Rattus norvegicus: one gene and its partners. The protein of the gene in region 5 purifies or fractionates together with the protein of the main gene of each other region. This does not show direct contact. Links are inferred from orthologs where the notes say so. Each region holds a gene or a part of one and is shown on either strand. Other genes may lie near its edges.

Evidence for each region.
Region 1: the proteins of Ddx6 (region 5) and Patl1 purify together in Homo sapiens (affinity purification with mass spectrometry; 6 studies listed by BioGRID and IntAct, with this or other methods). This does not show direct contact. The link is inferred for Rattus norvegicus from reciprocal best matches to the Homo sapiens genes DDX6 and PATL1.
Region 2: the proteins of Ddx6 (region 5) and Pabpc4 purify together in Homo sapiens (affinity purification with mass spectrometry; 3 studies listed by BioGRID and IntAct, with this or other methods). This does not show direct contact. The link is inferred for Rattus norvegicus from reciprocal best matches to the Homo sapiens genes DDX6 and PABPC4.
Region 3: the proteins of Ddx6 (region 5) and Dcp1a purify together in Homo sapiens (affinity purification with mass spectrometry; 8 studies listed by BioGRID and IntAct, counting the BioPlex papers as one, with this or other methods). This does not show direct contact. The link is inferred for Rattus norvegicus from reciprocal best matches to the Homo sapiens genes DDX6 and DCP1A.
Region 4: the proteins of Ddx6 (region 5) and Ago2 purify together in Homo sapiens (affinity purification with western blotting; 5 studies listed by BioGRID and IntAct, with this or other methods). This does not show direct contact. The link is inferred for Rattus norvegicus from reciprocal best matches to the Homo sapiens genes DDX6 and AGO2.
Region 6: the proteins of Ddx6 (region 5) and G3bp2 purify together in Homo sapiens (affinity purification with mass spectrometry; 3 studies listed by BioGRID and IntAct, with this or other methods). This does not show direct contact. The link is inferred for Rattus norvegicus from reciprocal best matches to the Homo sapiens genes DDX6 and G3BP2.
Region 7: the proteins of Ddx6 (region 5) and Atxn2l purify together in Homo sapiens (affinity purification with mass spectrometry; 6 studies listed by BioGRID and IntAct, with this or other methods). This does not show direct contact. The link is inferred for Rattus norvegicus from reciprocal best matches to the Homo sapiens genes DDX6 and ATXN2L.

Annotation. Positions count from the first base shown.
Region 1 is NC_086019.1:218,265,630-218,269,612, reverse strand, and holds part of Patl1 (protein PAT1 homolog 1), read right to left. Parts: intron 3,838-3,983; coding exon 3,643-3,837; intron 3,281-3,642; exon of another isoform or gene 3,207-3,280; intron 2,745-3,206; coding exon 2,643-2,744; intron 1,996-2,642; coding exon 1,906-1,995; intron 1,576-1,905; coding exon 1,358-1,575; intron 278-1,357; coding exon 188-277; intron 1-187. UniProt on the Homo sapiens protein: RNA-binding protein involved in deadenylation-dependent decapping of mRNAs, leading to the degradation of mRNAs. Acts as a scaffold protein that connects deadenylation and decapping machinery.
Region 2 is NC_086023.1:140,851,505-140,855,487, reverse strand, and holds part of Pabpc4 (polyadenylate-binding protein 4), read right to left. Parts: intron 2,959-3,983; coding exon 2,765-2,958; intron 817-2,764; coding exon 701-816; exon of another isoform or gene 562-700; intron 1-561.
Region 3 is NC_086034.1:5,661,545-5,666,323, reverse strand, and holds the start of Dcp1a (mRNA-decapping enzyme 1A), read right to left. Parts: upstream 2,888-4,779; 5' UTR 2,863-2,887; coding exon 2,728-2,862; intron 656-2,727; coding exon 615-655; intron 1-614. UniProt on the Homo sapiens protein: Necessary for the degradation of mRNAs, both in normal mRNA turnover and in nonsense-mediated mRNA decay. Removes the 7-methyl guanine cap structure from mRNA molecules, yielding a 5'-phosphorylated mRNA fragment and 7m-GDP.
Region 4 is NC_086025.1:106,927,691-106,931,673, forward strand, and holds part of Ago2 (protein argonaute-2), read right to left. Parts: intron 3,346-3,983; coding exon 3,186-3,345; intron 1-3,185.
Region 5 is NC_086026.1:53,834,871-53,838,853, forward strand, and holds part of Ddx6 (probable ATP-dependent RNA helicase DDX6), read left to right. Parts: intron 1-1,299; coding exon 1,300-1,363; intron 1,364-2,568; coding exon 2,569-2,673; intron 2,674-3,983.
Region 6 is NC_086032.1:16,299,069-16,303,051, reverse strand, and holds part of G3bp2 (ras GTPase-activating protein-binding protein 2), read right to left. Parts: coding exon 3,920-3,983; intron 2,430-3,919; coding exon 2,301-2,429; intron 2,224-2,300; exon of another isoform or gene 2,097-2,223; intron 1,524-2,096; coding exon 1,405-1,523; intron 1,095-1,404; coding exon 822-1,094; 3' UTR 1-821.
Region 7 is NC_086019.1:190,510,508-190,514,490, forward strand, and holds part of Atxn2l (ataxin-2-like protein), read right to left. Parts: intron 3,896-3,983; coding exon 3,785-3,895; intron 3,113-3,784; coding exon of another isoform or gene 3,095-3,112; coding exon 2,903-3,094; intron 2,827-2,902; coding exon 2,755-2,826; intron 2,529-2,754; coding exon 2,458-2,528; intron 2,294-2,457; coding exon 1,998-2,293; intron 1,901-1,997; coding exon 1,831-1,900; intron 1,374-1,830; coding exon 1,227-1,373; intron 1,128-1,226; coding exon 1,055-1,127; intron 962-1,054; coding exon 771-961; intron 527-770; coding exon 397-526; intron 305-396; coding exon 183-304; intron 9-182; coding exon of another isoform or gene 3-8; coding exon 1-2. UniProt on the Homo sapiens protein: Involved in the regulation of stress granule and P-body formation.

The DNA of each region.
Region 1 (3,983 bases), on a different chromosome or scaffold from region 5:
AGCACATTTTTGGAAGTGAGAAGGAATTATACACATATATACATAGAAAAAGCGGATGTTGAAAGTTCTTCACAACTATACCTAGTTTCCCTAATTTATCTAGGTACATAATTATAAAATGGCTTTATATAAAAGGCAGAGGCTTTATGTATCCTAGGGCCACATAAACAAAACTATGAATACTCACTTTCTACTTTGCAGCTGCCTCTGGTGCAGCAGGCGCCGGTGCTGTGGATGAAGGTGAGTTGTGTCTGGTCTAAACATTGGGGCCTGAGGTCTAAGAAAAAAAAGGAAAATGGTCCTTGATATCTCATCTTAATTGACTTTATTTTAAAAAAGGCTGTCAATACAGGATAACTTCACATAGGTTCACTCAAGGGATAGCCAGTGTATTATAAATAGACTTTTAGAAGGGAAAGCCATATTTTTATATTTCTTCCACAATGACCAATTCTCAAACCCAAGAGGGTAACTATGAAACTCAGTGCACTAGTAGTAAAACAATACAAATTTTTATCCCTAATACTTTAATGTATTTAATTTTTGTGTGTGAATGGGACAGAAAGTGTATGGTGGCAGTTAATTTTACATGTCAACCTGACCAAAGTTTAACCAAATCCTTGTATAGAAACTGCTATGAAAGCATTTTATAGACATTTACACTTATAATCCATTGACTTTAAAAAACTGCCTTCCATAATCAGGGACGTCTAATAGCCCAAACCAGAAGTCGCTCAGAAGTAACCTCTATCAGGAAATTAAGCTCTGCTGAGTATCTAGCCTGCTGGTTGACATACTTCAAAGACAGACTGCAATGTGACTCTTAGTTTCTAGTCTGCTACATGGGTTTCCAATTTGCCAGTCAGTTCCTTGGACTAAAATTAACTTTCCCCACATTTATGTATACTTTACTGATTTTTCTCTTAAGAACATAAACTGCTGTGACTTATATAAGACACAATTTTACCAAAGCAGAAACCAAGTCTGTTTCCTTATCAAACCATAACACAGAAGCAAGCAACTCAGCTGGCACTGAGGTCAGCTGGCTTCTTGGCTTCTGTCTGCACCTGAGGTTTGTGGCAATTCCTTAGTCATCAGCACTGTGTAATAATTTTACTACACGAGTCTTTATAAAATGGTATGGAGTGAAATTTCAGAAAAAGTAAAAGCAGCAGTCAATTTATCATGTGCAAAGAAGCATGACACTCCTGAGAGCAGCGTACAGCCTGAAGGCTCAAGCAGTTCTCTGACAACTAAGAATCCTCGACTCCTCGAACACCGTATGAGCAAGTATCAGGACTTTAAAGGACAGCTGACAGTGGCTCGTCAGAGGCAGAGGCATGCTCTCCCTCCCTACCTTAGGTTCTGGAGGTGAGGTCCTGGGCCAGGAGGGTGTTGCTGTGGAGGTGGCGTGGCAGGGGGTGGAGCACTGAAGAAGGCACGGAAGCCTGGTGCTGGAGGAAGCATCTGCCCAACACGCCCTTGTAGCAACTTAGGATTCATGGCAGCCAATGGGCTACCAACAAATCCAGGGACCCGTGCGAACTGGCTGGGAGACATTCGTCCAGGCTGTAGCTGCAAAGAGGGACGGGATCTTTGATGTAGACTTAGCAATCGTCACTGGCCCCACCCACCTTTGTGACCGGGACTCATTAGGTATTTCAGACTGCTTGGGAATGCCCATATAGCCCAGGATGGCCTTAAATGCGTAATTCTAACTCAGCCTTCTAAGTGTTGGGAATATAGGCATGCACCACCAAAAGTAAACAGTTTTCATTAATAACTTCACTTGAGAAAACAAAACGGGGGCGGGAAAAGTGGCTAACAGCGAAAGAAGAAGGTGTCGAGCAATTAATCTTAGGACAACAGGATTATCTTTATGGGTTCAGTAAACTGTAGGCTTACTTGTGCTCCTCCCAGAAGCTGTGCTCTCTGCAGAGGACTGAGTACAGGAGGAACACTAGGAGGAAAAGGGTGGCCCAGGAGGGAGGAGTTCTGAGGACACAAAAAAGGGATTTTATGTTCATATTATGGAACAAACATCAATATGTCAAGCAAACTCAGTATAAATTTGGTATAAAGTTAGATATTAAAAACTCCCAAACCCGTGAGCCTAATATCAGAAAAGAATGCTAGAAATTACAAAACACTATGTCCATGTAACAGGAAAAAGACAGCCAAGGCTCAGGCAGCAGAAACCAGAGGTTAAAAAGGAAATTAGAATCTTTCTGTGCTGCTTCTTTTTGTTGAGACGAGACTTGCTAAGTAGCTCAGTTTGAAATTCATTCACTATGTAGACCAGGCTAGCCTGGAATTAATTCATTCACTATGTAGACCAGGCTGGCCTGGAATTAATTCATTCACTATATAGACCAGGCTAGCTTGGAATTAAGATTGCTTTTACCTCAGTCTAATGAGTGCTAGGATTACATAGCAATGCCTAGCTGAGCTTAGAATCTTAAAGGTGTCAAGAAACAGAGTAAACTTCTGTCCTTTAACCTTGGGACTGAAAATTCTAGAAAATAAAATGGAGATTACAAGGAATACATACAATCTAGGAAATAAATGTCGGCTCTACTAAATACTAATGGTGAACATGAAGTTCACATTAAACAATCCTGCTATGTTGTAAAGAGACATACCGGGACACTGCAGAGCTGGTTTGGAGACATCCTCTCACCATAGGGAGCAGGATAACGTGGTGGCATTGGGGGCCGGACATGAACAGGCTTCGGACACAGAATCTATTAGGACAAACAGATACACAACTACATTCAATGAAATCAGTCTTTTGCCTTCCTACACTCCCTCCCCTCGAGTACTGGTAGAGACACAGAACTCAATGCAAAACCCTGATTCTAAGCAAATTGCTCTGGCTATGAGTTCAAAAAGAGAACCTTTGGTCACTTCCTCTCATAAATCACTTTATCTTAACTGAAGATGATTTAGCTAATTCTCCAGTATCCCCACCCTTCCATGCTATCTGAGGGAAGTACCAGCAGACATTCTGACTTGAAAATTTTCTCCAAGAGGATCTGTTTTGGTTGTATTAAGGGAGAAGGAATGATAAGAAAGCTGGAGGATTAACTAAGTCCTATTCTGAAGCCTCGGTGATATGGCCGCCATGCTCAGCAATGTTGTGACTCCACCATTTCTTAGGATATTGAGCCTAACTAGGCCATACCAACACCACCCTCCCCCCATACCTTCCAAATTGGCCTTCCTTTTCAGCTGCTGGTTTCAGGTGGAGGAAAGTCTATGGAACAGGACTGCACAGGCTCTAGGGAAAGCAGGGATATCTTAAAGGTAAAAAGGGATGTGGACAATGCTGAGTGTTCCCACTCCCCCCAGCTTTCAGTATTCTTTCTGCTAATGTACCCGGCAGCCAGCAAAACACTTTAAAAAAAGGACATATGTACTAATGTGCTTAACTACTCTTTTCTCCCCCAGTTAGAAGGTAGAAGCAGCAGCAGCAGGAGCAGCAGCAGCAAATGGAATTAGGGAATGTGTCTCATTTATACTATCTTCTCTAATTGGCTATTCTTTTAATGCCTACCCACAACGTCCACCCTCCTCCCAGAACCCCAAATAATTTTGCCCAGATTCCCAATATTCTGGGCTGTGTACATTAATGAAAGGTACCTGTTGGTTGAAGCTGGGAACCGCCATCTGCTTAGGTGGGGTGCCTATAGGAACAGCTCTAACAGGAGGACTTCCAATGATAGGTGATGTTGACCGCCTTGGTAAAGCTCGCTCAGAAAGGTCCCGGTCATCTTCTGGGCCCTGTGGGGGCCTCTGAGGCAAGGCATATTCTAATACAGACACTGTAGGCATTTCCTAATTGAGGAAATTGTTAAAAATGATAGAGATATTAGCTAACTTGTGATATTTTAATAATCTCCACAGATGCCAAGGATACCTTGAGAAATTATTTTAACTTTAATTCATACTCAGTAAAAGTCATTCTTTGGTATATAATTCTC
Region 2 (3,983 bases), on a different chromosome or scaffold from region 5:
CTTGACAGGAAAATATGTCCACACACCCGACACAGACATACACGAAGCCTTGCCTATTCCACACCCCAAAGGACAGAAATGATTGTTGCTTGTAATAGCCAAAATGCAATAGTACAAAATGCAAAAAAAAAAAAAAAAAAAAAAAAAAATACCCATGGCTGTCCCCAACCCCACAGTAATGATCCGAAAAGGGATGAGCTTTTTTTCACAGTATGCCAATTAAACAACGGACAGTGAAATGTCACAGCTCAGAGGAAAGACTAGAGGACAATTTGGTGCCAAAAACTAGCAAGAGCCCCACGGGTAGGAATGAGTTGAAGGAAAGCTGAGGTTATAACTAATATCCAGCTCCTGGTCAGCCCAGGGCCTCTCCACTCTGCCGCTGGCCGAGACCCCTGCTCAGAGTGGGCTCAGAGCTGTCTTCTAGCCAGCCCCACTTGCTGACGCTCACAAAACCCAGATGAATGCCTTAAGGGAGAGGCAGCAGGCAGGCCATGGCTCGGCAGGGAGCCGACTGTGGCAAGTCAAAAGGGCTGCCATGGCTCGGGCAGGGAGACTCACCAGCCCTGGAGTGGAGAGGTAGGAGCAGGCCACACTTGGGCCGAGAGAACCAGTAGCCGCCTTGTGTGTGCCAGTTAATACCGAGGTGGGGCCATGGCTGGCTCATGCGATGGCTGTCGCTCCAGACTGGGACACTCACACTTTGCGGTCATTGAGGAGCATGCCATTCATCTTCTCGATGGCCTTGTTGGCAGCCTCTTGGGTCTCGAAGTGGACAAAGGCATAACCCTTAGAGCCGTTCTCATCACAGACCACCTGTTGAAGAGGAGGCAGGTCACCTGGGGGCCACTGGCCAGATGTACGGACCTCACAGGACCCAGCACTACCAAGTACCCTGCTTTCCAACGGCTGCCATGATTAGTCTATTTCTGGCCCACATTGTGTTTCTGTGCCAGCAAGGTGAGCCTCAGGGGGTTTTTTGGATACAGGTTCCCTCCAGACTGACAAGCAAGCCCCAGGAATCCTGTTTCTGCCTTTGCAACACTGGTATCATGCATTCATGGGTGGATGGTCCCCTGCCCAGTTTTTTTTTTTTTTTGGTTCTTTTTTTCGGAGCTGGGGACTGAACCCAGGGCCTTGCGCTTCCTAGGCAAGCGCTCTACCACTGAGCTAAATCCCCAACCCCCCCTGCCCAGTTTTTAACAAGGATTCTAGGGAATGTAACTCAGATCCTTTCCCATGCAGCAAACACTTTACCAAATGAATTTCCTGCCTAGCCCAGGAAATTTCCTTTTTTCCCCTCAAGTGCTCCTTTATTTAAAAAAAAAAAAAAAAAGAAAAAAGAAAGAAAGAAAGTAATACCAGCACTTGGGATGGGAACCTTGATCATCTTCCTGGTCACTCACCCACACAACATGCCATCTGAGGCCAGCCCAGTAAGATGCTGCTCAAAGTGTGTATGGGGGTGGGCGGGGGTTTAAGGGAAAGAAGGTTCAATGAGTAAAAGTCTTTGGCTCATTCCCTGGGATCCACAGGCAACACCCAGATACAACTTGTTCATAGATAAAAACTTAATGAAAGAGGGGGCAGGACTGGAGGCTAGCTCAGTATTCGAGCACTGCAAAGGGTTCAATCACAGCATAGAAAACAGGGAAAAACCAGAAAGATCAGGTACAAACCAAGGTGCTCAGAAAAGTGCTTTCCAAGTGCACAAAAGTCAAGTCCTGAGTGTGTCAGCAGCCACCATGTGAAGGTTAGCGGCTGAGTAAGGTTCCCAGAAACAAGGGGCTGCTGACCCCAATCCCAAATGGAAACTTTCAACAGTCGGTACCATGAAAGTACACAAAACACCTTACAAGTAGCTGGAGTTCATCTGGCAGACTGCTTGCCTCAACCCTGTACCATACAAGCTGGGGGCGGCAGCACACACCTGTAATCTTAGCGAACACCAGAAGTTCAGTTATCCTTGGCTATATGCCATACAGAGCTCTAAGTCACCTGGCCCGGTGTCATACTTTAATCCCAGCACTCGAGAGGCAGAGGCAGGCCGCCTGTGAGTTATTATAGGTTAGCCACATCTGCAGAGATGGTTCTAGACAACCAAGGCTACACAAAGAAACCCTGTCTCGAAAACCCAAAACAAAAAACCTGTGGCTAAGATTCCCCACATGCTCTTCTGTGATAATTCCATTCCCAGAGTGGGATCCAGCTTAGTGGGTGAGTTAACTGCTACTTGGGAGACTAGGGGCAGCCATAAGTTCAAGACCACACTAGGCACCTTGGTGAGATACGAAAAAGTAGAGAGGGCTGTGGGTAAAGCTCACTAGACCCGAGGTTTACATAGCAATGGGGGAGGGGGTTGTAAACAACCCTAATGAAATGCATTGGGTCGCACACACAAAGATAGCAGTGGGTTAGTCGAGAATTAGGATGGGGTTATGGGGAGTAGGCTAAGAATTGGGGAATGACATGATCAAGATACATATGCACATGTGTGAAATGCCTTAACGAAACCACAGGTCACCAAAATGCTAACACTAAAACCAAGCCAAAACACCCTCAGTGATAGGAAAGTTATCACACCCAATTGTCCCGAATTCTAAGGTACCCTCCCTTTGATGCTATCCCCAGGCTGGCCTTGAACTCCCTAGATAGCTCCCATCAGCAGCCTTGAGCACAAACCACACCCAGCCATAGCATTTATCTTGTTTTCAAGAAGCAGCAGTTACTCCTATTCGGCCAACAGTCCTTGGCGGACGCTTACCTTACAGGACAGGATGTTTCCGAAGGCAGAGAAAGTGTCATACAGTGCCTTGTTGTCTATAGACTTGTCCAGGTTCTTGATGAAGACATTTCCCACACCAGACTTCCTCAAAGAGGGGTCCCTCTGAGACCACATGATCCGGATTGGCTTCCCCTTAATCACATCAAAGTTCATGGTGTCCAAGGCCCTCTCAGCTGTCAAGGAGGAACACTCACTCATTAAGAATGCCAATCAACTAAGAAGACTTGTTGCCATGCCAGAAAGATCTCTGAAGTATCAAGATGGCCTCAGGGAACCAAGACTCTCACCATGGACTAAGCTCATGTTCCTAGTTAATGCATCGAAAACTAGATCCCATCCATTTTTTTTTTGTTCTTTTTTCCGGAGCTGGGGACCGAACCCAGGGCCTTGCGCTTCCTAGGTAAGCACTCTACCACTGAGCTAAATCCCCAGCCCCCCATCCACTTTTTTTTAATCCTTACTGTTACTTTCCAGACAGGGTCTCTCTATAGCCCCAACTGTCCTAGAACCTATATTTAGACCAGGTTGGCCTTGAACTCGAGAGCTGTCTGCTACTGCCTGAGTTCTGGGATTAAAGGCATGTGCCACCACGCCTTGTCTATTTTTATACTGAAAACCAAACAAAACTTAAAAGTAGGATAAACCGCCACACCTTTATCCCAGGGCTCAGGTTTAATTGGAAATCTTTAGAATCCTAAGAATTTAGCTACTCTTTCCTTCTAGCTGGTTGGGTTGTTCCTTGACTGCCCAAGGAAGCCCACCAGGCACCTGAGACTTGGAAGGACCAAAAGTCCTGATGCCACAATGCCACACTTTGCTGGTGGCAACAAGGATATGACCAGTGACTTCACTGAAGCAGTGTCATGACCTAAGCAAGCACCCTCTATGAGATTAAAACAGGGTCTAAGGTAGAGTGAGGTGACAAGTCTAAACCCACAGTACAGAAAGATTACAAAGTTAGGTCAGCCTGGTTGAGGTGACTGTCAGTCAAATTAGACAGCTGGGCATGGGGTTCTTAATCCCAGTGGCACTGTGGTACAAACTTCCCAACCTGAAGAAAGCTCCTTATTAAGCAGGAACATGAAAACTTAATTAGCTTCAGGAAGTCCCTGAAACTGATCAGATTCACTAGGGCCAACCCTACAATAAAAAGCTGATAGCCCCCCCTCAGAGGGAAGGAAGCTGGGTTGCCAAGACA
Region 3 (4,779 bases), on a different chromosome or scaffold from region 5:
AACAAGGTAAAGTTGTCAACCTTTACAAACCAACCATTTAAAGAATTAATTTTCGGGGCTGGAGAGATGGCTTAGTGGTTAGGAGCACTAACTGCTCTTCCAGAGGCCCTGTGTTCAAATCCCAGGGTGAACTCATGGTGGCTCACAACCATCTGTAATGGGATCTGATGCCCACTTCTGGTGTGTCTGAAGACAGTTACAGTGTACTCCTATATAATAAATAAATCTTTAAAAAAAAGAATTTTCAGAGAAGTTTAAAGTAAAATGTATATGAATTAGGAATGACCTAGAACTTTGGGAAGAGGCAGGAAAGGGGCAGAACCAGCCACAGAAGGCAAATTCTCATCAGAAACTACAGACCGGCAAGAGTGCTATCTCAATCACTTTATAGCTACTGTACTATACTATATTCGCAGACATTCGTACGTATGCATTCTTTTTAACATGGGAAGAAGAGCAGCAGCTGTAGTAGGACTGTAGTGCTTGGGTGGGGGAAAACTGGAAGAAGATAAACAGGAAGGCTCCAAAGCTACATACACGATAGAAACGGACCACGCTCCACCACAGCGATCACCACCATTCAAGTGAAGTAGAAACATCCTTAAGCCACTTACCTTCGGTATACAAATAATGTCCCTTCTATATCAGTCTTCTCCTGTAACAGACAACGACTCTGTCAGTTTTCCAGGAATAATCCAAGGTCAAATGATCTTGGTGAAGCACCTACACGTTCAGGCCAACTTGTCTTATTTACTGTGAAATCGATCGTGTATGTGCTCAAGGGAATGCACGCTGGCATTTGTGTACAACTGGAGAGGCCATCGGTCACTCTCAGGCGTCATTCCTTCTTTTGAGTCAGGGGGTCTCACTGGCCAGAAGATGGGCAATTTAGCTGCACTTCCTGGTCAGTGAGCTCCAGTGTTGTGTCATAAGCGCCTCCATGTCCCCAGAGGACACGTAAGTGCAAGCTACTACGTCCAGCTTTCTGTGTGAATACTTCAGGTTCTCAAGCTGGGGAGGCAAGCACTTCATCCACTGAGCTGTCTCTTTAGCCTCCAAATTAGTCACGTTTGAACAGGTAAAGCAATTCACTTTTTAAAAGAAATCTAAACAAATTATGTATCTGTTCACCCCTGTGTTTATGTATGTCCAACCCAACAATATGTGTACATCTGTAGCACATGTCTATTTTTGCCAGTGAGGAACATTTAAAGGGAAAAAAAAAGCGATTTAGCTTTACTTATTTTATGTATTAAATTTTTTTTTCAATTAGAAAAGATGTAGGGCTCTTTTGTCAGCATACGTATTTCTTTGTAACACATGTATGTGTGTACGTGGAGCTTAGAGAGGGCACTGGACGTCTTGGAACTGGAGTTACAGATGGGTCTGAACCATCATGGGGATGCTGGAAATTGAGGCAGGTCCTTGGGAAGAGCACCAAATGCTCTTAGCTACTACTGAGCCATTTCTCTGCCCCAGCTTCTCTCTGCAAACACTAAAACCTTTCAACTAGGTATCTTAATACTCCAGTCAAGGTATTGTCTACTGCAACTTAAAAAACCAAAAACTTGGAAAAAAAAACCAAAAACCAAACCAAACCAAACTTGAGCAGTCTATTGAGGTTTATAGAAAAAGAATGGAAACTTTCTTCAAAAGGGATACCAGGTTGAACTCAGAGCCTGGGCCTCATGATGCACAGCTGTGTAGCACTGAGCTAAATCCCTAACCCTCGGGACGTTTTCTTCTAAGATACTGTTTCATTTCTGGAGAATTTAGGACTATTTTCACGAGTTACACATTTTGTGGTGACCAAACACAATTTAATATTTTCAGAACTTTGTTAAGACTCGTGGATAGAAACCATTCTCTGCCTTAGACAAATGTGGTAGGTTTTTAAAATAAACGCCTGAAAATGTGATTAAGAAACTGTAACTTGGGTTGGGTATATAGCCCAGTGGTAGAGGAACAGTACAGTGTCTGCCTAGCATCAGGAGGAAATAGGACATCATGTAAATAGGTGCTTCAAGTTGAGGTTAACTAAAGTCAGTGAATGTAATTTCTGGAACTCCATGCCACTCACAAAATCCAAAAAGAACTAAGAAGTGAGCGATCAAACGTCCTATCACCGGTCTCTTTTTTTTTTTTTTTTCTTGTAAAAACGTCTCCAAGGAATCCAATTCTTACTGAAGTAGCCTTGAAATCTTTCTTTAAACTCCGGTGATACCAGTTCTGCTAAAGCTGGACTAACTCCTGAGACTGATTTTTAAGCTTCAAATCCAAATCATCACATTTAGGTCGGCAGGGAAAGAGGAGTGGATTTTGCAATCAAGAACACGTGATTTATCTAATAGTTTTCAAAGTCTCAAACACAGGTTTTCAATCACTTGTTAGAAAAAAAAATTAACTTGTCTCATATCCTGCCAATGCAACCTCAAGTCTCCAGAACCGACCCCAAAAAGACTGATCCTGCCTCATTCCTGTCCTCCATCTGATTTCCCTGTTATGTCTCTGGTGTACTCCTACCCTTCATTCCTCCAATTCCGCGTGTCCCTCCCCTTTCCCCCGTCATCTCTTCGGCTCTGGAAGGACCTTTGGGAGAGGTTCGGGCCTCGCCTTTGCGGTCCTACTCTGCTCCACACCCCACCCCCAATCCTAAGCTGTCTGCGCGGTCCCTTTAAGAGGCGGCAGCGGCCAGGCTGGCGTTCTCCACGGCTGGGCCTCACTCACCCACTGGTTGGCTTTGGGGCAGAAAGTGTACAAGGCGACCTGGCCCGTGAGGTCTGCGATGCTGGTGATGTAGGGGTCGTGTTGTTTCAAGGCCGCCAGACTCATCTCTTGCTCAGCTCGACTCAACAACTCCATCTTGGATCTCCAGGCCGAGCCCCTCGGGCGGGGGCGGACTGGAGAACAGGAAAGTGCCATCCAGGCAAAGTTCCCCCAGCTCAGTCAGCCGTCCACTTCCGCCTATCCGACCTGCCTTGCCGAGGGTGGTACTTCAGTTAATCTGATCCGCCGCTCCTATGCCCTGGGAGCCTGGTTCCGATCTTTTTAGGTCTGCGGCTGCCGGAAGGTACAGGCGTCCGCGCCTGCGCGGTGGAGCTTCGGCGAGCCGACATTCCGGAGTCCTCCTCTCTCACCTGGCGGGATCTGAACTTGTTCCTTGAGTGCTCCAGACTCCTGCCAGTGAGACCGCAGCCCAGCACATACCCTGAATCGAAATGCTTGCTGCTGTGGAAGTGAGGTTTTCATGGACCATTGAGAAAACTCAGACCAAGTGAGGAAAGGGAGCTGTACTTTACTTCCGAGCTGCACTTTCACTCTTAACTGTTTGGTAATTTTTGAAAGAAATGTTTCAAAGCAGCCAAACTAGCCTGCCTGGAACTACACTGTACTCGGCTTCCCCTCTTTGGCTTGTCTTTTCCTTCATCTGGGTCCTAAATAAATATTTCTGTTGTTCTAGAAAGACCTATTACGGGGTTGGGGATTTAGCTCAGCGGTAGAGCGCTTGCCTAGCGAGCACAAGGCCCTGGGTTCGGTCCCCAGCTCCGAAAAAAAGAAAAAAAAAGCAATATAGAAAGACCTATTACTTAAATAATAAGTAGATCTCTTAAAAAGCCAACATTATTGGGCATCCTAAGGGGTCAGGTACTACAAAGTAAAACAACGTGCTCAGCCTATTTTCATTGAGCTGCTTTAAAAACCATCGTTTTTCTTTATTGAGGACATCTCGGCACAAATGAACGTTTTTGAAAGGATAAACTTTACATTTCCATCAAAGTACCACCATATATTTGTGTTGCTTGTGGTTTTACATCCCAAGATCATTTGCTAATGGAAGGGCAGACTTTCCGTTCGGAAACACGTGTGAGGCAAGAAGTCGGAACAGCTTATGGTTTGTTCGCCCTTTGCTCACGTACACATTCATTGATCTTATAGAGTGGTTGTCAGTTCCAAGCTTCCAACTCTTTTTGGCACCAGGAGAAACGAAAAGCAAGCAAATAACCCCATGATAGACATTTCTCTTTGAATTCCAGAGGGTGGAGTCTATTTCCGTCTGAGCCAGGAAAGGTAGTGAAGGAACTCTTAACCAGTTCCGGCATGGTGGGCGTGGCTCTGGCAGGCCTTGCCCTTCTCCCCAGTTTCCTCTGCCTTGCTAAAGACTGTTAGATTGCATTCCTCACACTAGCCACCAAGGTCTGTTCCTTAATTTAGCCTAATAAGAGATTAATTTCTCCTGAGGCTGACTACCAAGGTCTGGCTATCAAAGTATTGGAGTCTAGCAATCAAAAGCCCCCTTTGGCTAATTAACATGCCCAATTAAAATTAAACACATCATCCTAACGTGGGCTTCCCCTTTTATCTTTATAAACTGCCATTTGCCCGTGGACCACATCTATTTCCTCTATATCTAGAGAGTCCTTTGTCTCCTTCCCAAACATCTCTTACCCCTCTCCTCCCAACCCCTTTAATTTTTAGCCCCTTGCCTTCCTATCTCCTGCCTTTGTTCATTATCCCTGCTCTCTCTCCCCCTGGAGCACATAAATCTCTGTGCTGAGAACATGGTCTTGGGGTGCCTTGAGCCAACTTCTGAAGGCAGTAGGAAGGCTTCAAGAAGGTGCTGAGGTTTGAACTGCTGCTTTCGATGAGGAGGTGCTCCTTGGGAAAGTAAAGTTAAGGGCTGAGGTTTGCTTCATGGCCCAGTGGCAAGGTGGGAACCTAGTGTTTAATGCTGATTTGATTCAGACTGGAGGGGAAGAAGGGAATGGCTCAGAGTTCCAC
Region 4 (3,983 bases), on a different chromosome or scaffold from region 5:
ATTCAAACAATGATGTCTGCTATGAACTTGAGAAAGAGGCCAGGAAGGCAGGACTGAGAGCTGAGTATGCAGCTGGCCTGGCTGGGTACTGGGGGTGCCTTTGTTCAAGACCTTCTACCTCCATAGGTTACTCCAGGGTCTCACCTGGCCATGACTTACTCTGTTCAAGTAGCATCTTGAGTAGTATTTTTTTTTAAGATTTATTTATTTACTTTATGTATATAAGGATGCTGTAGCTGTTTCAGACACACCAGAAAAGGGCATCTTAACCCATCATAGGTGGTTGTGAGCCACCATGTGGTTGCTGGGAATTAGACTCGGAACCTCTGGAAGAGCAGCCAGTGCTCTTAACCATGAGACATCTCTCCAGCCTGCATCCTGGTTCTTAACCACAGGGTACATTCCCAACTCCCAGCACCCTGGCCACCTCCTTTCGTGACCATCGGTTCTGGCTGGGCTGAGACCTTCAGCCTGAATGCTCACTGAGTGGTGGTATGTGTGTCGAGGGAAGGGGACATAGAGAAAGTGATAGCCCTCCATGCAGCACCCAGAAGTCCACCAGGCTTGTCCTGACTCCTGCATTGTAGGGGCAGCTTCATCTTTATTTCCATGGTGACTGCTCTTTGAGAAGTGCACACCAAGGCTGGCGGCACACCTCCACACCCATTTGACACCAGAAAACTTTGTGGCTGCCACTGATGGCCAGAGGATAATGGTATCAGCATGGCTATCAGGAAGGGGTTTACCCATCCTGTCTGTCTGCCTTCCTGCAATTTTCTTGCCCTTTCTCCCCTTTGTTTTGACACAGTCTCACATATTTCAGACTGGTCTTGGACTTCGAGTCCTGCTGCCACAACCTCTCAAATACTGACGTCATAAGAGTATGCCTCCGCACTTTGTGCCAAAAGAAACTTGATTATTCAAGAGGTGTCCCGAGACTATCACAAAGAACCAAAAGACAAGGTGACACTGTGTGCAAGGAGAGGAGGCCAGAAGGGCATCTTTCTCCCTAAGTATGTGGAGTCCAGATAATATTCTCTGTGAGACCCTAGGTCATGATTTGTGAGGTGACTTCACATTTGTGTGAAGACTGTGGCACTCAGAGGGGAGTGTGTCTATTGCACATTGCCATCTCCCAATCAAAGTCAGGCACAGTGGAGACCTGTGTGTGTGTGTGTGTGTGTGTGTGTGTGTGTGTGTGTGTGTGTGTGTGTGTGATATGTGGTGTGTGTGTGTGTGATATGTGGTGTGTGTGTGATATGTGGTGTGTGTGTGTGTGTGTGTGTGTGTGTGTGTGTGTGTGTGTGTATGTCTGTGTCTGTGTCTGTGTCTGTGTGTGCGGTGTGTGAGACCAGCAGGATTTCTCCTCAGCACCCACTCAGGGTAAAACTATGTAAGAAAGAATCCTATGTGTTAAGCATGTGGATCCATGCAGTCTTTCCAGGGAGAGGAGCAAGTGTCCCTTTCATCTCCATTGTGGTTGCAACCACCCCTGGGGGGGGGGCCCTGCACCCAGCCTCAGACTTAGGTGCCACTTCTCAGACACAGGTAGTCTGTGGCACTGTGGTCCTGCCAACCACACTCGAGATGCCTGTGCCCCTTGGCCTCACTCTCCCTGCTGAAGGTGAACTGAGTAGTACACCCAAAGATCCTGATCACTGCCCTGCCACCCCGGCCACCAGGTACAGCCATGTAGCAGCTGTATTTCTACATGGGTGGATGTGACAAATGTGTCACAAGCCAGGCACACCTGCGCAAAGCTTCCCATGAGCCCAGCCTGCTGGTAACTCCCAGGTTCTTTCTAACTCAACCCAGCTGCCATGGCAACAAGCTTTCCCTTTCAAGGTCTCCAGTGACTTCCCTATCACTGGGTCCAATCATCAGACCACACAGTGCGGCATATTGGCATTTTGTGATGCAAGACATACTTCCTTGGGTGCCATGACTCAAGTGCCTCCCCTCCTTGCCTTCTCTTCTCTCTATTCCCAGCATCCCTGAGCTTTCACCCTGGGCACAGGGCTCAGATCTCCTTGGCACTCACTCAAGGATGCTCACCCATCTCATGGTTCCTGTGCTTTCCCAGAGCTCAGTGCCCCAGCCCAAGCTACCCCTCCTTCAGGAAGGGCCCTGTGTTTGACACTAACTAGACCAAAAGCCCAGACAACCAGCTGCCTTTCCTCCCCTTTAATCTCTCCAATCTAGTCCACCGTCCTTATCTCCAAAGATTCAGGGCTCCTCAGCGCCAGTCCCCAACATCGGCCTGGCAGAGACTGACACAAGAGGTCTCCCAAGTCTGCTCCACCTAAAGCCACAGCCAGCCCCCCACGGCACAGGCCTGCCCCTCATTCTCAGTTTCTACAGACAGTTTCCTCAACCAAAGCTATCACTGTGAGGGCTGGAGAGATGGCTCAGTGGTAAGAGCACCGACTGCTCTTCCAGAGGTCCTGAGTTCAATTCCCAAAACCACATGGTGGCTCATAACCATCTGTAATGGGATCTGATGCCCTCTTCTGGTGTGTCTGAAGACAGTTACAGTGTACTCACATACATAATAAATCTTTTTTTAAAAAGCTATTACTATGACCACTCTCTTCTGCCTCAACTGCAGGTCCACTGTTCAAGGAGGGGCAAACAGTAACTTGGGCCTTGACCTCTAATACCCAGGGTAGCATATCTGCCTTGGGTGAGGAAGACACAGTTCCGCGTCTCCATCCCTTAGCCTTGTGGAGCATGTTGGCAGCCAGCACTTGGCCTAATAAGTTCCTGGACCAGGCAGAGGACCCATCAATTGTGGCCCCTACAGAGAATTTCTAGCCCAAGTACTATGATCTTAGCAGCAAGCTACCAGCCCTGGGTGAGCAGAGTGGGAAACACTAGAGTCTACACTGCAGTAAAGCTCCAGGGACCAGCTGACCAGACTTCCAAGTCTGTGGAAGCCCATTTCCTGACCTGTCCTGGGCCACTCACTCTCCTTACCCTCCAGTGGAGATTGCTGGCCTTGGCACAAAGAGTGGGGTGGCAATGGCCCCACACCAGCCTTCAACTATTAGGGAGCCCAGTCCTAACAGTCACCCATCCCCGATGCCCCTGGCTCTGAGGGGTCTGGGACTTATGCCCACATGAACTACCTGTGAGTACCTCTCTACTGAGCCAGCTGGTGTATGTGCAGGGTGTGGCCACCTCACCTGCCCTGTGGCAGCAGGATGTTGTTGACTCCTCCCAGTTTGACATTGATCTTTAAGCAGAGATTGGATAGGGTCTGTGGCGTGGTCCTCTGCACGTTCTTCATCTGGACACACTGCGTGGCCATGCCCAGCACCGTGTCTCCCACACGCTTGACTTCCGCTGTGGAGCAGAGGTGCACATGTCACAACATGTCCCAAATAGAAGCAGCTGTCCCCTGCCCCGTGGACTGCACTGGTGCGGGGCTCAGCCATGGCAGCTGCATCAGGCGCCTGCAGTCGGCCTGTGCACGATGCTGGCAGATGGAGGGCAGAGCTCCTGGCTGAATCCTGCTTTAGTGCTGCCAGGCACCTGTGCCTGTCTCCCTCAGGACGGGAATCTGGAAGCACATCTCACACCAGCCATTTGTGATCTGGGGCCCAGGGTGGGGTGAGCAGAAGCCGGCTATAACTGAGGCTTCATCATTCCTCAGCAGAAATGACACCTCATGTTAAGCAAATGCCTGGGTAGCTAAAAATAAAACCACCGGCCTCCTCAAAACCCTTGGCAAACACAGAACATCAAAGTGCCGTGGGGATCCACACTCCTCCATTTCCAGATTCCTTCCCGGAGCAGCTGGTCATTGCTCTAAGGACTGTTCTAGAAACCCGGACCCCAGGGACAATGCTCATTCCATCCAAACACCACTGCACGAGCAAGCCTGCTTTGAACCTGGAGGGGGAAAGCACGGCGGCCGTGGGTCTGCAGTCTGCCTGTGGTTAGACAGGACAGACCCCTACTAGTAACAACCATTAAGAATC
Region 5 (3,983 bases):
CCAGTTTTTGCACTGTATATTATATACTATGCATTGTTCAATTTGACAGTGCATTCGGCAAGCGATTTTACTAGGTTGTTATCCGCCATGTTTTTGCTTAGAAAGTTCAGTGCTGTAGACTGAAGCAGAGGATCATGAGTTGGAGGCCAATCTGGACTGAATAGCAAGCTTTCGTAAACAAAGATACCAGTATTGGAATGTTTGTGCTTTATGTGCGGGCTGTAGCCTTAGATAAATCAAGCTTCGGGTGTTCTGGTTACAATTTCAAGAGTCTCCAAGTGAAATGACTAAGATGTTCTTAATGTGTTAGGTATAGTACTGACTACTTTTCAAAATTACCTATTTGCTTTTTGAGACCACACTTAGCATAACCCAGACTGGCTGCCCAAGTGCTGAAATTACCTGATTCATGACATCGTGCCACCTCTTTATAGATTATTGATAAAAATTATTAGACACCCAGTTTGTATGTGAGAGAATAGAGGTTTGGGGGAAGTAATTGGAACAGCATCACAGAAGGAATAGGAGTCAAATCAAGACTTAACCTCTATTTGAAACTTCAGGACTTTGTGTGCATTTGTGTTTGAGGTCAAGGTCTTTCTGTTCAGATTATCCTGGGGCTTCCAGGCTCAGGTGGTCTTTCTACCTCATTCTTCAAGGTAGGTAGGACTGTAGGTTCTCTTGGTTCTAACAAGAATCAGCTAGTTACCATAAGTTACAGGCTTGGATGACTATAGAGCACCAAACTAGAAGGTACTTATTGTTTAAGTTCTGGTTACTAGGTAATCCACTGGAAATTCCCCAGCTTGTCCAGTGACCTGGGTTCAGTTTCTTAGCATTACAAAAAAGGGGGCTAATGTAGTTACTCAGGTCTACCAAACTGTTACCATACAGGAATTTGAAACATTATTGCCAAAGTGTGTCTTCCTAAAGTGCTGTGGATTGAATCTAGCAGTTTTTAAAAGAAAGTCCAGAATCTGAGCCTTTACATGAAATTTAGGGGTTAAATGTTTGCTGCTAACAAACAAACAAACAAAAAACCAACTATGTGGATGAAATAAAACACATTTTGACAAACACTTGGTTACTCCAGCCCTGGTGATAAGTCTTCATCTTCCTTAATGAGTTCCCAAGAACACGTTCCTGAAGTTGATGCCTTTGCTAATTGTGTTAAGTGTTTGAGTGTATTAAACTCATTGTGCTTGTTAGAGGGATGGTTCTATTTGAGGTGTTTCATTTGTATTATTAAGGAGGAAGCTATGAATTGTGATAACTTCATGCTTACAATATTCTCTCTAGACCTGGTGATGACTGGAAAAAGACTTTAAAACTCCCTCCAAAGGATCTAAGAATTAAAACTTCGGTAAGTGGGGTGTTCTATTTCAAATGGAAGTTACAAGTAAAGGAGTTACGTGAAATGACGTGGAATGTGTCGGCTTTGTTTTCTTTTGAGATATTATCCTGTGTAGTCCAGGGCTACTACACAATCTTGGTCTTTCCCGTAGCCTCATTGGTGCTGGGAGTATAGTTAGGTGTGCACTAGCAGGCTAGCACATGGGTAGTTAGGTATGCACTAGCAGGCTAGCACAGGGGTAGTTAGCTGTGCACTAGCACAGGGGTAGTTAGCTGTGCACTAGCAGGCTAGCACAGGGGTAGTTAGCTGTGCACTAGCAGGCTAGCACAGGGGTAGTTAGCTGTGCACTAGCAGGCTAGCACAGGGGTTTTTATGTTTGAGCACCTTTAGTTTTTTCACTACAACTGAAGGTTTACTGTTTAGCTGAGACTGTATGTGTTGAAATAGTTGGAACTGTATAGTTAATAGATACTGGGTTGCCAAAATTTTCCTACCAGTCTTTGATGGGATTAGACAATAGGTATAATGTATATTAAGTTGTGTGTGTCTGTGTGCGTGCACACATACATACCTTGGTTATTGTTTTGTTTTCTTTTTTTCCCAGACAGGGTTTTCCTGTGTAGCCCTGGTGGTCTTGAAACTAACTCTGTAGACCAAGCCAACGTTGAACACACAGAGATCCACCTGCCCCTGCCTCTGCATCTCTGTCTCTGCCCTCAGCCTAACTGCATATCATAACCTAATTTTCTCAGTTTCTTTTTCTCAGCCTGTGTATCAGTGAGATAAACAGGTTAGGTATTATAACTACTGTGTATGAGTGTATAAGAACAGGCGTTCAATGGGGTTGGGGATTTAGCTCAGTGGTAGAGCGCTTGCCTAGGAAGCGCAAGGCCCTGGGTTCGGTCCCCAGCTCCGAAAAAAGAAGCAAAAAAAAAAAAAAAAAAAAACTAATCAAATGTTATTTATGTAGAAAGAAATATTGTACTTTGCACTTTGGTCATACCTGGTTTTGCCCAAAGATCCATTTTTAAAGTGTGTTTATTTGTTGAAGGTAGTGTAGTTAGTTGTTCTTCAGGGAAAGCTGACATAGAGATTAAAGCAGTAGTAATAGGTGTCTTTATATTGAAGTGGAGAAAGGGTTCAGTCTGTCGGGCATACGTTTAAGCATGCTTACTGTGAAAGAACCTCAAATGTATTTTATTTGTTTGATTTAGGATGTGACCTCCACAAAAGGAAATGAGTTTGAAGATTACTGTTTGAAACGAGAGTTGCTAATGGGAATTTTTGAAATGGGCTGGGAAAAACCATCTCCTATTCAGGTATGTTTGTCCTTTTTGTTACATGAAGGTTATATAACATGCATTATACACTTCAGCAAATGTTTTCAAAAATACTTAGAGCTGGATGTGGTAGCATACACTTTTAATCCCAGTACTTGGGGCAGAGGCAGGCAAAGGCCAGCCTGGTGTACAGAGTAAGTTCCAGGACAGCTAGAACCACAGAGATCTTGTCTTGAAAAACAATAAAACAAAATAAATAAACAAATAATGTTCTCATGTATGGAGTGTTTTATCTGCATGTATGTCTGGTACCAAGCAAGAAGAGGACCTCAGAGCCTCTGGAACTGGAGTTAAAGATGGTTGTGAACCATAGTGTTACATGTCTTTTGTCTTTGTGTGTGCAAGGACAGTATTTTTCTGAAGAGAGTGTGTGTGTGTGTGTGTGTGTGTGTGTGTGTGAGAGAGAGAGAGAAAGAGAGAGAGCGAGAGAGCGAGCGAGTGCGAGCGCTAGTCCATCTAGCCTTGGATTTGAAGTATAGCTGGAAGTGATCTTTGAGCTCTTGTTTCTTGCCTCACAAATCTAGGATTATAGGCAAACACCACAACTCCCAGCTTTTTTCTTGAGCTTTTAAGGGTTAAATCACAGAATCCATTTCTTATGAGTCTCTTGGTGTTTATTTCCCAAGAATAAGGGTTGTGTGTCGTGTCATTGGTTGATGGTTTCAGTATTTTTTCTATTTATTTAAAATTTTATATTTTTATGTGTTTGAGTGTTTTGCCTGCATGTATGTTCATGTAGCACATGTGTGCAGTGCCTGAGGAGGCCAGACAAGGGTTTTGGATCCCTTGGAACTGGAATTTTAAGTGGTCTTGTACTGCCATGTGGATTTTGGGAATCAAATCTGAGCTCTCTAGAAGAGCAGCTAGTGTTTTTGACTGCTGAACCATCTGTTTAGCCCCTGGATTTTATTTTTAACATTTTGTGAATGTGCAGAGGTCAGACGCTTACAGGAGTCAGTTCTCTTTCTACTCTGTAGATTCTGGGGATCAGACACAGGTGGTTGTACTTTTTTCTATCAAGCTATCTTACTGGCTCTGTTGCTTTTTGAGACAGGGTCTTATGTATCCCAACTGGCCTCAAACTCTGTATCTAAAAGTGACCTTAAACTTGTAACCCTTCCATAGAAGAGCACTGGGATTGCAGTGCAGGCTTGTGAAGTCTTGTCTGGTTTATATAGTGTTGGAGATGGAAGTCAGTGTGTTCTGCCTGCTGGGAGAGCACTCTGGCAATTGAGCTGCATCCCTAGACTCTTCCACTTATTTTTTTAAATATATATTTCTCATGAGTC
Region 6 (3,983 bases), on a different chromosome or scaffold from region 5:
ACAGTTTAAAGAAAGGAAAGGGGAGGAGTGTGTTGAGCAGCCATCCATCCCTGTACTCAAGAGGGCAGGTAGAAAACTGACAAAACGGAGCTACTAAACCTGGTCTAGTATTTAAGACCACAGCTTTTGAAGTTCTCGTTTTTGTTATTTCGTTCATAGCTAAAGGACTTCCTTCTGGAATATTTGCAGTCTTGTTAAGGTTTGTGTGCACACGCTGGTCACAGCAAGCAGATAGAATGCCCTCATCATTTCACAAACTATTCTCTACTGGAAAAGAAGATCAACTTTTTATTTCCCTGTTGCCTCCTGGTGCAGATTTCAATGTTAATGACTTCAGAGTACCCGACAGTGCATTCTGATGAATACGTAACAAGTTTCTGTTTGTGTTGGGGGTTGGAGGAGCCAAGAAAAAAGGCAAGATTCTCCAATTGCACAAATTGCACTATTTGTGTTTCCAACATTAATAGCAGAAACAGTTAACACTTAAACAAAATGTGCAGCAGAGGATTTTTTTTAAACTCAAATGACCTGAACTCAGTGGGCATGTCCTTTTTTTAAAGTTCATTTTGTTGCAGACAGTTTAAGATATGGTCATCTCTCAGTCCTTAATTCTCCAAGTCTAGCTTTATAAATTAACAATATGAATCCTGTTGTGAAATTGGGGAAATAATGTCCACCTCAATTTAACTGATAACCAAAAGATGCTTTTCACATCAAAGAAATGATCAAAAAGGCTGTGTCACATTCCAAAGCCAAACCTAACAAGAACGCAAACACGATGAGTTAGGTGCCACTGCCAAAACTTGGCCAACAGGGGGATTTCAACGACGCTGTCCTGTGAAGCGGCCTTCCATTTGCCCGGTTCCTCTTCCAGAACCAAGTTTCTGTGTCATGCCGCCTCGTGGAGGGGGCCCTCTTCCGTCACGATCACGCATCATTCCACCACCCACAATTCCACGTGGACCACCAGGACCCCGATCATTGCGCCTGATATCCCTGCGGTCATCACCACCACCTCGGGTCTCTCGTTCTCTGGCAGCTCTTGTCTTTTTCTCTTCCACGTTTAAACGTACTTCTCCTCGAAACATAATTGGCTTTAAAACAGAAAAATGACATGAATGGTTACACAACAATAGATATGAATTTGCATACATAAGAAAAATCTTTTAAATAAGAAACTTTAACAAGTCTTAATATAAACTTTAGTCCTTTTCAACTGAGCAAAAGAATGATCCATACAGCAGACTGTAATACTATCTTCTTATTCTTTGCATAAATACCATTTCACAATTAACTATTTTTAGCTTTACCATAAAAAGGATTTTCTATGGTTTTAAATGTTTCAATTCATCCTATAAACAACAAAAAAGAGAAAATTTTATTTATGCCCCTTAAATCACTTACTTTTGCAATTAAGATTCTCTGAACTGGTTCAGAGTCATCAAAAACCACAAAACCAAAATTTGGAAGCTTTCCCCCAACACCCTTGGTATTGATGCGAAGTTCCACAACGTTTCCAAAACCTGTGAAAATATACATTACAACCAAGGGTTAAATATTTTAACAAAACATCCTAGTGACTTTAACTGTTCAGAACGAGCAACTGTCACGTTTCTGATCCATCTGAAAACAAACAGGGCAAAGCTGCTATGCACGATGGTTGCTACAGGACATGTGCTCGGGAGGGCCACCACCTCATACCCCTCACAACCTTAGCAGATGCTTGTCTCCACGAGAAAAACAAAAACCCTGCCTGCCAAATTTTGGAAAGACAAACATTTTCCCCACCCCGTTTTACCAGTGGAGTCCTCAAGAATGAAATGTAAGACTGTTTCTTCCAGCCAGTTAGTTCTCTTTCCTCAGCTCCTGAACCTGACCAAACACTGGGAATTGTGATATCATTATCATTTCTTCCCTTCTGACCAATTAAAGTGAGACTGAAAGCAGGTAAGATATAATCTGAAGGTAAGTAATTTAGAAAGCTGGGTTTTATTATGACAAAAAGGCTCTTTCTTCCTTTAGGGCTTTATTTAAATTCACTAACATTTTGTTTAAAGGGAAACCTTCATGTTACAAGTTATGTCAGATGGTAGGGTTGTTGTACTGAAAACCGTGGAGTCCTGTGTCCACTTGGACAGGACACCCCCAACCAGTCCAGATTCTCTTGCTCACAGAGGGCAGGTCAGGACCACAAGAGGAGGAGGACTGAGCCCTGGTGAGCAGCTACGTTTCTCTAATGTAGGGCATAACCATCAAACTTCAACTTAAAGTAGAACATGAATGCAAACTAAACCACTTACTCATAAAGAATTCTTTCAGTTCATTTTCATCAATATCATGAGGCAAGTTTCCAACAAAAAGCTGGTGACTGTCCGGATAACGAATTATTCTCCGGTTGTCAGAGTCATTCTGTTCTGTGTCTCCTCTGCCTAAAACAGGAAGAAAGGAAACACTAGAGCCTACAACAGCACATAAAAACAGTACAAAGAAATGAACTAGAAAGGAAACTCCTATTGGTGCCAGGCACAGTGGTACATGCCCTAAGGCCCAACACCAGCCAAGAGGATCTCTCTAGTTCCAGACCAGCCAGGCCTATACAATGAGACCTTGTCTTAAATAAACAAAAACAAATGAGAAAGAAAAAAACCAATACTAAAACTCCTGCGCCGACTTAGTAAAGCAGAGGTGCTCCCTGAAGGTGTATTAGGTGGACAGAGAGCACAGCTGGACAGATCCTGACTAGACTTGCAGACTATGGATAAGACTGTGAATGACATGGGGTTGGGGATTTAGCTCAGTGGTAGAGCGCTTGCCTAGCAAGCGGAAGGCCCTGGGTTCGGTCCCCAGCTCCGAAAAAAAGAAAAGACTGTGAATGACTAGTACTCAAAGGACAGTTATTACCCTGTAACCAGGGCCACAACAGACTTTCAGTTAGTAAGGAATACTCCTCCTAAATACCTCCTTAGTGTTTTAAAATAAAACACATTTCATCAATACTAACTGTACCAGCATTTCCTTTCTTAGGCCTCTTTCCTCCCAAAGTACTATGGAAGGTAACAGTCTTACTTAATCCTCTCATACCATAGCAAGTCACAGAAGACAGACACCACACCAGATAGCGTCATTGACACCGACATGGCTTAAGAAGGAGCAGCTCAGACTTAAGGATGCCATCCTAGATCATGGCAGTCAATACCAAAGCTGAGACATGCCACCCACTGCCTGGAACCTTGGAATGCACTACTTTTATTTACAGAATTACAGTTCTAAATTGGAGGCATAGTAGTATATATATATATATATCCCTCTTGCATCCAAAGCATTCTCTCTTTTTAAAAGGTTTATTTGTCCAATTTAAACATGTATGGCGTTCTGCATGTGTCTGTGCGCCACCCACATACCTACTGCTGGCAGGGCAGAAGAGGGCACTACACCTCCAGGACTGGAGCTACAGACAACTCCGACCACCATGTGGGTGCTAGGGACCTAAGCCCTCTGGAAGAGCAACTGCTGCACCGGTCCCGAACCCCGAAAAGCTCTCTTAAATCCTACAGCGTTCAACAATGGTCCTCACTGCACCTTAGCTAGCAACGCACTTATGAGAAGCTGGTGCAGCTCAGGAGGTATCAGTGTGAGACAAGAGTGTACAGTGAGCTGGGTGGGTACTAAGAGCTCAGCTTACCATTCTTAAATGCACCAACAGTCAGCAAATGGTAAAAGGGCACATTTTATCAAACCACACTTCCACAGAGCTCAGCAAACCCTCTCCTCAGCTGTTTGTTAGCCTAGATTATCTTAGCAGCATAACCCTAAGTAGTCTGATCTCCACACAGATCTGTGTATGAAACCCAGTACAGTTTCCTTTAAAGCTTAGTCTTTCCCAACTGTCCAATAAAGCCCACAAGTAAGCTGAGCTTACCTGGCCTTGGTCCTCGAGGAGGAAAACCAGGTCGCTCTCGAGGTCGCTGTTCCCGTACACGTGG
Region 7 (3,983 bases), on a different chromosome or scaffold from region 5:
GCCTGGTGCTGCCGGAGTAGAAGTGAGGTATGAATGCCACCCATTCTGCTATGCAGGCAAACCATAGGCTCATACTGTTTCTCTGTTGAAGAATGACCCAGTTCTCCTGAAGCCCTCTTCCAGCCACCCAATTCCTGGTTTGACCATTCAGACCTTCCAACCCACTCCCACATTACAGGCACCTGAACGGGACTGGGGGCCGCATGCTGGGATTGTGGTTGGCTCCCAGTAGGAGTGGTGGCCGGCTGAGGCTGGTGGCCATGGAGCTGCGTGGCATGGTGTGGATAGGACTGGTGAACAGTGGCTGCAGCGGGAAAGAAGGGAGACCTAGTACTGAGCACACCAAATGGATAGCGGTTCAAACATCCCAGTGACAAAGTAGGCACCAGAACTCACCATAAAGGGCTTGGGGGGTAGGCTGCTCTGCAGAAGGGTACTGAGGAGTGGAGGATGACACGATGGCCTGGGGATGGCTTCCCGATGTCAACATTCGTGGATTACTTTGAAGCATAGGGGCGAACACCGGCTGGTGAAGAAAGAAAGCAATATGCTAAGTAGACCTGCCTGGAATGTCCTGTCAGCCTCTCTGTGCATAGCAACACAAGTCTCAATAGTTATCTTAAAGACAGTAACCACCTTAATTCAAAAGGAAAAACTGGGAGCGGAAGTTCAATGTCTTGTTACAGGAACTACATCTTAACCAAGTCAGACACTGCCAATCCCACAGCTAGCCACCACTATTCAGTGGATTTCAGAGGTGTGTTCTGTACCTGTGAAGGGTAGTGTGCCATGGGCTGCATCATGGCAGGCTGGCCTGGGAACTGCTGTGGGTTGTAAGGGATGTAGGAGGAATAAGGTGTGGCAGCCACCAAGGGTGGGCCAGCAGCAGCAGCAGCAGCCTGCATCATTGGAGGGGCTGAGGCTGGTTGGTGTTGGTCAGAGCGCTGGGGGGGAAGTGAGCCTGTGGGTGGAGGGTAGACAGTGCAAAGCTCAGGTGTCTTCGCTTGCCAAGAGGCACTAGGCAGCCCCAGCTGCCCTTCCCAACCCTGCTCACCTTTTGCACCCCGGTACTTGCCCTGCTGCCCAGGCACCGAATTGGATACAGGATATGGATACATCTGAGGTGCCTAAGGAGAAGAACTAGGGCTCAGCAGGTGCTCATCAACACTGGAACAGTCTGACCTGGACAGTGGGCACTTTCCCTGGGCTCACTCAGTCTCTCCTACCTGCACAGCTGGTCCCATGTGGATCTGAGGTATATATGAGATGTACTGGGGACTGTAGAGCCCACTCTGGCCTGCTGTCAGCACCGGTATGGAAGGTGTTGAATGAGTACGGGGCCCTGGTGAAGTTGGAGTACTGGTAGATTTGTTCTGTAAGGGACAAGGGGAGACATTATATTTCTGCAATCCCACTTCAGCCTTTTCAAATCCATGGACTAATGTGTGCCAAATATATCCTACACTTTTTCCTAAGAGCTTTACAGCAAATCACAAGATGGGCATTCACAGGGCTCTAAGTGGTTGTCTGAAATCTAGAAGCCCCACGAGTACACGTTAAAGCCACGTCAGTAGATTCCTTCAAGCTCATAGTCCTAACCCTCCTCATACACTCGACATGCCAAATAGTAAGAACCAAAGTAATCAATAAACAGCTTTCATCACTCAACCCTGGAGATAATCATTGCTTTTCCAAAGCAGTCCAACTGCTCCTTTCCAGACTGAAGTGCCATCTCACACTATGGGACAGCATGCTATCCTGACAGTCAAGTGCTCTCCTCTACTGTCCCCTCAAAAAGACCCAAGTCTGCATGCAATAGCCCCAGCTCACCACAGACAGCAGAGGCTTTGTTGGATTGAACTCCTTGGCATTGGGGTTCAAAGTAGACTTCTTTACTTGTCTGTAAGAGAAAGTAAAGCGAGCTCTTAAGTCATGTCCTGCAACAGCTGAGAAGCACCAAAGATCCCTCCCTCACACCATCCATCACCACCACCTACTCAGTAACCGGGCCCTCCTCTTTGTCATCTCCCTTGATGAGGCCCACTGGAGGACTGCCAGTTTGGCTGGGGCAAGGTGGTTGGAGCTGTTCTGGCCCCTCAGACCCCGCTACTGCTGCCAGGGGCACTTTGTCTTCCTTATCCAATATGGATTCTGCCTTGGAGGAGACTGGGGATCCCATAGGATCTGAAGTCAATAGACCATCCACTTCTTTCTCCTTTCCTTTGGCCTCTTCTTTCAAGATCCGGGAAGGAAATGGATCCAGGCCCGTCTCAGAGGAGCTACTAGGTTGAAGCTGGGAGGAGAAATAGTTCACATATCATACTGTCCACTCCAGACCCCAGTCTTTACCTCCTACATTCACTCTTGCTCAATCTCATCTTTCCCATCTGCTTGGCCTTTGTCCTTACATACCCCACAGCCTGCATAAATCCTAGCTCCTTTTCATGCTTCACTTACCTTAAACTGGGCCCCAAATTTCCTCAGTTCTTCCAACTGAAAGCGTTTTTGTTCATTCTGAAGGCCAGGGACTGAGGAAACAGTGAAATGAGAAAAGACACATTTTCCCCCCCTGAAAGATCACACAGGGCTAGTTAGTAGTACAGAACAAGAAACCAAAGAGTGAGCTCTTGAGAATATTGAAAGATAAATGATATCCAAGGACAGATAGATGGGCACTGCTTTCAAATCCTAATGGACTTCTTAAGGGAAACACTCCTGCAACTAAATGGGATTACAGAGTAAAATTGCCCTCACCTTTCCCAGCTATGCGGGCCAGCTCTTGGGCTTCCAAACTCCTACTGGGCTCCTTGGTTGGGAGTTCTTTTACTGAGGAAAGAGAGACAATAAGTTCCTGCTCTTAAGTCACACCCACAGTTCTCAAGCATTTACAACTGGTTCTTACCATCTGTAGGGGCCAGGGAGAGTTTTGGAGATGCTGGGGAAATAGAGCCTGCTCCAGGATCCACAACTGATGATGTCACAGGGATGGAGGCAGAGGATGCTACTGCTGAACCAATGGGAGGCTCAGGACAGGAAGCTGAGACTGGGGCAGGGGCAGCAGACTTGGGAGACCGTGGAGGGTACATCCGGCCCACTGGAAGAAAAGGGAGAGCTATACAATGGTTACTGCTGGCCAGGAAGTAGTGCATATAGGGGGGAAACCCAAAGAAAATTTATAAGCATTTTTTTTTTTTTTGTTCTTTTTTCCGGAGCTGGAGACCGAACCCAGGGCCTTGCGCTTCCTAGGTAAGCACTCTACCACTGAGCTAAATCCCCAGCCCCAGCATTTTTTACACCTAGGGCCACAATTTCCTGTGTTAAGACCAGGGCAGGCAAATGGTTTCATTGGGTATTACAAAAAGACTGGAAATGCTATAGCTTCTCCTGTCCTAAAATGTTGGTTAAAAAAACTAGTCTCAACAGAACACCTGACAACCCATGAACTGACAGGTTAGAACCCAGGAAAAATAAAAAAGTTCTTTCTTAAAAAGATTAAATTAAATCCATCTGAACGCCTTTAATCCCAGCACTTGGGAGGCAGAGGCAGGTGTTATTTCTAAGTTTGAGACTAGCCTGTCTACGGAGTTCCAGGCCAGCCAGGGCTACACAGAGAAACCCTAACTGGAAAAAGACGAGATAGAAACAGAAAATGGAAGATAAAATCCAAGACCGTACCCTCACACACCAAGCATCTACAAATATTATTTCCCAGTATTTCAACGACTTTAGACTCATTTACTACCGCCTACCCACAAGCTAGCCAAGCCTCATTGAAGCTCTCTACCTGCAGATGTTGGAGGAACAGAAGCTTCTCCAGAAGGCCTATTGTTGGGTGAAGATAAGGTCTTGCCACCTCTCAGAGGCCGCTGTGCCTTGGGGGACATGCGGGAAGGACCTGTTTTTTTAATGTGAAGAAAAAGAAACATGTGCTCATTACAAGAACACAATACTTCATCCTGCTAATCAATCACTTAAAATCCTAC